Macaca fascicularis: one gene and its partner. The protein of the gene in region 1 purifies or fractionates together with the protein of each later gene. This does not show direct contact. Links are inferred from orthologs where the notes say so. Each region holds a gene or a part of one and is shown on either strand. Other genes may lie near its edges.

The links.
Region 2: the proteins of NGFR (region 1) and NDN purify together in Homo sapiens (affinity purification with western blotting; 3 studies listed by BioGRID). This does not show direct contact. The link is inferred for Macaca fascicularis from reciprocal best matches to the Homo sapiens genes NGFR and NDN.

Annotation. Positions count from the first base shown.
Region 1 is NC_088390.1:57,198,973-57,203,050, reverse strand, and holds the end of NGFR (tumor necrosis factor receptor superfamily member 16), read left to right. Parts: intron 1-450; coding exon 451-611; intron 612-1,271; coding exon 1,272-1,573; 3' UTR 1,574-3,576; downstream 3,577-4,078. UniProt on the Homo sapiens protein: Low affinity receptor which can bind to NGF, BDNF, NTF3, and NTF4. Forms a heterodimeric receptor with SORCS2 that binds the precursor forms of NGF, BDNF and NTF3 with high affinity, and has much lower affinity for mature NGF and BDNF.
Region 2 is NC_088381.1:5,296,512-5,299,909, forward strand, and holds NDN (necdin), read left to right. Parts: upstream 1-1,262; 5' UTR 1,263-1,350; coding exon 1,351-2,316; 3' UTR 2,317-2,889; downstream 2,890-3,398. UniProt on the Homo sapiens protein: Growth suppressor that facilitates the entry of the cell into cell cycle arrest.

The DNA of each region.
Region 1 (4,078 bases):
TAGATTAGCTGATCATTTGTAACCACTCATTCAATAGTATGGATGGATGGTAATTTATTTAGCCAGTCCCCTATTGATGGACATTTGTTTTTTTTTTCCAGGTTTTTGTTATTGCTTATAATTGCAGAGGAAATCCTTGTATGTATCACTGCCCACATGTGGGAGTATTTTAGAAGGGTAGATTGGGAGAAGAGGAGTTCCTGAGCAGTCACTTAGTGCTGCACTGCTCATTCCAGGAACATTTACTGAACACTTACAGAGGGCCCCTCATGGAGCTTTCAGGGTAGGTGGGGGGCAGATGTGCAAAGAGGAGCCTTAGATGCTGGGGTGGCGGTTACAGTTGGGCACCCGCCATGCCCCTGGCCCTCGCACGGCAGAGCACAGATACCTCAGCTGCATCCGCCGCTACGGCCCCCGCCCCCTGAGACCTGGCCTGTCCTCTGGCTCCAGGTGGAACAGCTGCAAGCAGAACAAGCAAGGAGCCAACAGCCGGCCAGTGAACCAGACGCCCCCACCAGAGGGAGAAAAACTCCATAGTGACAGTGGCATCTCCGTGGACAGCCAGAGCCTGCATGACCAGCAGTCCCACACGCAGACGGCCTCGGGCCAGGGTGAGCAGGGGCCCCGCTGAGGAGCTGAGTCGGAGCTGAGGCTGAGGAAACAGAAGCGGTTAAGATTAGACTCCAGGAAGGACTGTGGGAGGAGGGGGAGGCAGGGCTGGCTCAGCAGTGCCCCTGTAGATGGATGGAGAGGCTGGCTGAGGGGAATGGGAAGGAGAGGCCCTCTCCAGGGAAAGGACTTGGGAAATGGAGGCTTTTACAAGTTGGAGCATCCAGACTCATCAAGCTAATTGTCCCCCCTGGGGGCTAATTACTGCCCAAAGTAGCTGCAATTAGCCTCCTGCCCTGGACTTCTGGGGAACAAGTAGTTAAGTGTGTACCCTAATTAGTGGCCCATAGCCCAGCTCCGGGACACTTGCTGTAGATGTCTGGAACTGAGAAGCCCTGTCTCCTCCTTTGCCATGATTAATTGCTGGGGGGGAGGAGAGGAGGGATGGGGGTAGGGATTGGGCTGGAGTGACAGGAGGAAGGGACAACAAGTCCCCCCAGGTGCCTTCACTTCCTGGTGTCCCACCCAGGACCTTGGCTTGGCCCTAGGCCTCTTGATGGGGAGGAGCACTGCCACCGCCCACCTTGGGTCTTACCCCAGCACCCACTGTTGGGGAAAGGAGTGCAGGGGTAGGACCTGACTCTCCTCTGGGTTCTCTGCAGCCCTCAAGGGTGATGGAGGCCTCTACAGCAGCCTGCCCCCAGCCAAGCGGGAGGAGGTGGAGAAGCTTCTCAACGGGTCTGCGGGGGACACCTGGCGGCACCTGGCGGGCGAGCTGGGCTACCAGCCCGAGCACATAGACTCCTTTACCCACGAGGCCTGCCCCGTTCGTGCCCTGCTTGCAAGCTGGGCCACCCAGGACAGCGCCACACTGGACGCCCTCCTGGCCGCCCTGCGCCGCATCCAGCGAGCCGACCTCGTGGAGAGTCTGTGCAGTGAGTCCACTGCCACGTCCCCGGTGTGAGCCCAACCAGGGAGTCCCCGCCCCGCCCCACATTCCGACGACCGATGCTCCAGCCAACCCCTGTGGAGCCCGCACCCCCACCCTTTGTGGGGGGCCCACCTGGCAGAACTGAGCTCCTCTGGGCAGGACCTCAGAGTCCAGGCCCCAAAACCACAGCCCTGTCGGTGCAGCCCGTGTGGCCCCTTCACTTCTGACCACACTCCCTGTCCAGAGAGAGAAGTGCCCCTGCTGCCTCCCCCACCCTGCCCCTGCCCCGTCACCATCTCAGGCCACCTGCCCCCTCCTCCCACACTGCAAGGTGGGCCAGCCCCTCCCACCACAGCAGGTGTCATATCTGGGGGACCGACACCAGGGATGGTACTGGGGGAAGTGACAAGGCCCCAGAGACTCAGAGGGAAGAATCGAGGAACCAGAGCCATGGACTCTACACTGTGAACTTGGGGAGCAAGGGTAGCATCCCAGTGGCCTCAACCCTCCCTCAGCCCCTCTCGCCCCCCACCCCAGCCTAAGATGAAGAGGATCAGAGGCCTGTCAGAGCTGGGAGGGGGTTTTGAAGCTCAGCCCACTCCCCTCATTTTGCATATATGTCAATGAGGCCCAGAGGGAGGCCGTGACTCGCCCAAAGCCGCACAGCAATGGGGAGGCCAAGTGCAGGCCGGCACCGTCTTCTCTAAATGAGGGGCCTCAGGTTTGCCTGAGGGCGAGGGGAGGGTGGCAGGTGACTTTCTGAGAAATGGCTTGAAGCCAAGTCAGCTTTGCCTTCCATTGTCTCCAGACCCCCACCCCTTCCCCACTGCCCGCCCACCCGTGGAGATGGGATGCTTGCCCAGGGCCTGGTCCATGATGGAGTCAGGTTTGGGGTTTGTGGAAAGGGTGCCGCTTCCCTCTGCCTGTCCCTGTCAAGCATGCCCGTGTGACAACTGTGGCATGGCTCCAGTCTGCTGCCCTCCATCCGGCAGGCACAGACCCGGAGCTAACACTGGCCCCTAGAATCAGCCTAGGGGTCAGGGACCAAGAACCCCTCACCTTGCAACACACAGACGCATGCACACACGCACGCGCACACACATACACACAGGAGGAGAAATCTCACTTTTCTCCATGAGTTCTTTCTCCTGGGCTGAGACCGGATCCTGCCCGGGGCAGCTGCCAGAGAAGCATCGGAGGGAATTGAGGTCTGCTCGGCCGTCTTCACTCGCCCCCGGGTTTGGCGGGCCAAGGACTGCTGAGGCTGGAGCTGGCGTCTGTCTTCAAGGGCTTACACGTGGAGGAATGCTCCCCCATCCTCCCCTTCCTTGCAAGTATGGGGTTGGCTGGGCCCACAAGATTGTCATGAAGAAAAGCGGGCCAGTGTGGGAATGCGGCAAGAAGGAACGACTGTGACCCGTGGGGATTTCTCCCAGCTCTAGACAAGCCTGCAAAGGACTGTTTTTTCCTGAGCTTGGCCAGAAGGGGGCCATGAGGCCTCAGTGGACTTTCAACCCCCTCCCTGGCCTGTTCTGTTTTGCCTGATGTTGGAATGAGTGTGGCTCTCCTCTATTTAGCATGACAAGCCCCAGGCAGGCTGTGCGCTGACAGCCACCCCTCCCCAGCCCAGGGTTCCCCCAGCCCTGTGGAAGGGACTAGGAGCATTGTAGTAAATGGCAATTCTTTGACCTCAATCTGTGATGAGGGGAGGAAACTCACCTGCTGGCCGCTCACCTGGGCACCTGGGGAGTGGGACAGAGTCTGAGTGTATTTATTTTCCTCCCCAGCACGTGGGGAGGGGCTTTGGGGGCTGGCAAGTATGTTTTAGCATGTGTTTGGTTCTGGGGCCCCTTTTTTCTCCCCTTGTGCTGAGATGGAACCCTTTTGGCCCCCCAACTGGGGGCCACGAGCTCCAGACCCCCAGCATCCCTCCTGTCATCTCCCCTCCTTGCCTCCTGTGTAATCATTTCTTGGGTCCTCCTGAAACTTACACATAAAACATAAGTGATGAACATTAAATAGCAAAGAAAGAAAAATAGTACAAAGAGATTTTCTGGAAATACACATGGTTTGAATTGTTTGGGATGGGGTGTGTGCCAGGGACCCAGGTATAATTTCCAATTCGGTCAATTCCTGCCCTCTTTTACCCCACACCAAAAGGGGAAGTTTTAACAGAAAGCCAGTAAGTTCCCATGTGTCACTATGGGGTGGGGTGGGTTGGGGAAGGAGAAGGGGCTCTTTGCTCCCAGATCTTGGAGAGGGAAAGTGAAAATGGCCATGCAGGAAGCTGGCCAGCTGTGAACTTGACCAGATGTCAGAAGTGAAACTGACCACGGGTGAGTCAGAGGCTTCCCAGGAGGGCCAGGTCACAACCCCACAGCTCCCAGCCACCCACATGGCTTGGGAGACACACACACACACACACACACACACCACAGAGAGAGAGAGAGAGAGATCTGGCTCCAGATGGCCTGGCAGGAGGCATTAGGCAGGCCTGGCCTGGAGTTAGGCAGGCAGGCCCCCTCCCTTGTAGCTCTC
Region 2 (3,398 bases), on another chromosome or scaffold:
GCTTGAGGAAAAATAAAGTGACAAGTGGGAAAAGATATATACTCACAGCGAGGACTCTAGACATGTTAAGACAATTTTTAAATGTGCTTTTGGCTTCGAGTGGCAATAATTAGACTCAACATATTTAAGAAGCTACTGATGAGAAGAAACCCTGGAAGCGCTGAAGGACCACATCAGCCCAGACCAAGGATGCTGAAGCAGCATCAAGGCCCTTGGTTTCAGAGGCTCCACCAATGACCCTTTTTTCATGGAGAGCCTGTAGGAGCGAGTTTTGTCTTTGCCCAGTGGGAATCTGTCTTCTATACTTGGAAAACAGGGTTACCCATGTTGCCCCTGCTACCCTTGGGTCATCTCAGAGACACTACCAGATATTACCTATGAGACCTAGTTGTTTTTTTTTTTAAATCTCAGGAAGGACTTGGGTGTGGCTTCCAACGTGGAGGACTCAGTAGCTTCAGAGAGGGTCCTGGGAGAAGGTGAATCGGAGAATAAGGGTGCTGGGCAGAGGGAAAAAGACATTATCATACAAGTTTGTGCTAAAAGATATAGCAATCCTTCTGCTATGGACTAAGTATGGAAAAAAATAAAATGGAATCAAAGTGACCCAAAGGAAATGTAAAACCCAAATTTATGCCCACTAAAGCATTAATGATGCTCTAAGTCCGCTGCCTACTTAAAAGGTTCATAGTTCACATGGGTTGACAGGAAATTACGTTAAGGACACGCTGCATTTCTCCTTTTCTTACAACCCCTCTGATTTGGTAGGGAGGGAGTCAATCATTTTTTATTGGAATTTCTCAGGATTCCAACCTCAGACATACACTTTACACATTTTCTTGGACAAGCCCGACTGTTCCTCTCACTCGTTCGCATAAAGCTCAAGTTTACACAGCCGCCCAGACCTTTCTCTGGGACGCTCATATTTAACTTAATTCTGGATATATCAGGTAAGCGTTTCCCAAGAAACTTGACCCCAACATCCCAAAAACTTAAGTTATCATCTTTCTCCTAAACTGGCCCCTTCTCCAGTACGCATCCATCGCACTCTTCTCCTGCCCTAGATCCCCTCAGCCCAAACGGGAAACCCCGGGATCGCTCTCTCCGCAGGTGAAGCTTAGCCAGGGACCCTCCCCGTCGGGGCTCCGCGCTGCCCCGCCCGCCCCCAGCCGCTGGCCAAGGCCGCAGTCGCGCAGGCGCAGTGCCGCGTCCCGCCGCCGCCCCGCCCTGCCCGCCGCTGCGGAAGGCGCCGCGCACAGCAACGCGCACTTCCTCTCCAGGAATCCGCGGAGGGAGCGCAGGCTTGAAGAGCTCCTGGACGCAGAGGCCCTGCCCTTGCCAGACGGCGCAGATATGTCAGAACAAAGTAAGGATCTAAGCGACCCTAACTTTGCAGCCGAGGCCCCCAGCTCCGAGGTGCACAGCAGCCCTGGGGTTCCGGAGGGGGTTCCTCCGTCCGAGACCCTGGCAGAGCCGCAGAGCCCTCCTTTAGGCCCGACGGCCGCCCCGCAGGCCGCGCAGCCTCCCCAGGCCCCGAGCGACGAGGACGACCCGAAGGCCCTGCAGCAGGCCGCGGAGGAGGGCCGCGCCCACCAGGCCCCGAGCGCGGCCCAGCCCGGCCCGGCCCCGCCAGCCCCGGCGCAGCTGGTGCAGAAGGCGCACGAGCTCATGTGGTACGTGCTGGTCAAGGACCAGAAGAAGATGATCATCTGGTTTCCAGACATGGTGAAAGATGTCATCGGCAGCTACAAGAAGTGGTGCAGGAGCATCCTCCGGCGCACCAGCCTCATCCTCGCCCGGGTGTTCGGGCTGCACCTGAGGCTAACCAGCCTGCACACCATGGAGTTTGCGCTGGTCAAAGCGCTGGAGCCCGAGGAGCTGGACAGGGTGGCGCTGAGCAACCGCATGCCCATGACAGGTCTCCTCCTCATGATCCTGAGCCTCATCTACGTGAAGGGCCGCGGCGCCAGAGAGAGCGCGGTCTGGAACGTGCTCCGCATCCTGGGGCTGCGGCCCTGGAAGAAGCACTCCACCTTCGGGGACGTGCGGAAGCTCATCACTGAGGAGTTCGTCCAGCAGAATTACCTGAAGTACCAGCGCGTCCCGTACGTGGAGCCGCCCGAGTACGAGTTCTTCTGGGGCTCCCGGGCCAGCCGCGAAATCACCAAGCTGCAAATCATGGAGTTCCTGGCCAGGGTCTTTAAGAAAGACCCCCAGGCCTGGCCCTCCCGATACAGAGAGGCTCTAGAGGAGGCCAGAGCTCTGCGGGAGGCTAATCCCGCTGCCCACTGCCCTCGCAGCAGTGTCTCCGAGGACTAGCCAAGTCTGGAGGCAGATGAATGCTTTCTGATCCTCACCAGGGCTGTGGAAGGGTGGGGGTGGGTCATTAGAGTGTTCAGGATTTACAGTGCAGTATTCACGTGTAACTTTTACGTTTCCAGTACAGTGCTTTTATACCTTTAATGCAATGTTGTATTCATTTGGGTACTATTGTGTAGTATTTAGGATGTATGCATGTTTGTTTATATGTAAGCTTGGTTGGTGCTTTCGCTTTTGTGGTACCTTTCTTGGATTTTTGTATCAGAGACGTGCTAAACTGATGAAGTACATTGAGAACGTTTCCATCTTATTAATTTACATGGGACTGAGATGTGTGTTGGGGTAGACTGCTCCTGCAGAGTTTGGAAAAACTCACCAGCAAAGCCGGCCTAACCAAGAAATGTCAAGGCCCTCATGACCTTGCTGGGGACTGAAAACATCCTCGTGGCGTAAACTAATTTGAACTGGACTGGTCTCAATGTGAGAGCACTTGGCACACTTTACTAAACACATATACAACCCCACCGTGAGTCAACTTTAAAGTAAACATTAAAGATTCTTGTGATACAATCATTTCTGGAAGTGTACGTTATCATTTTAACAAAGCAGTATGGTTGGGAATGAGACAATTCTCTGTTTTACAGTATACACAGATATAACTGTTTCCCCTAATGGGGTGGGAAAAATCGCTACTCATGATTACTCCTAAATTTGTGAAGTTTGTGGTTTTGTCTTTAACTCATGTTTATTTCAAAAACATGCACAAATATAGAAAAGCATAAAAAACAAAACAGTAAGATTGTCCATAATCACATCCTATGGGAATAAAAACCAAAAATAATTTCCTTAAGTTTCTACATTTTATCAAAATTAATAGATGCTTTGTGGGCACTTAAAGAGTGAGACATTGTACATGAGCCCTGACGTGTATTTTTCTCCTTTTATCTAATCCTCACAACAGGCCTGTCAGGCAGGCAAGAACTGCCTCTGCACCATGGAGGAAACACAGGAATAATGTAGGTAATGGACTTTCCATAGCTCATACAGGTTAATAAGAGAAGGCGCTAGGACTAGAACTCACA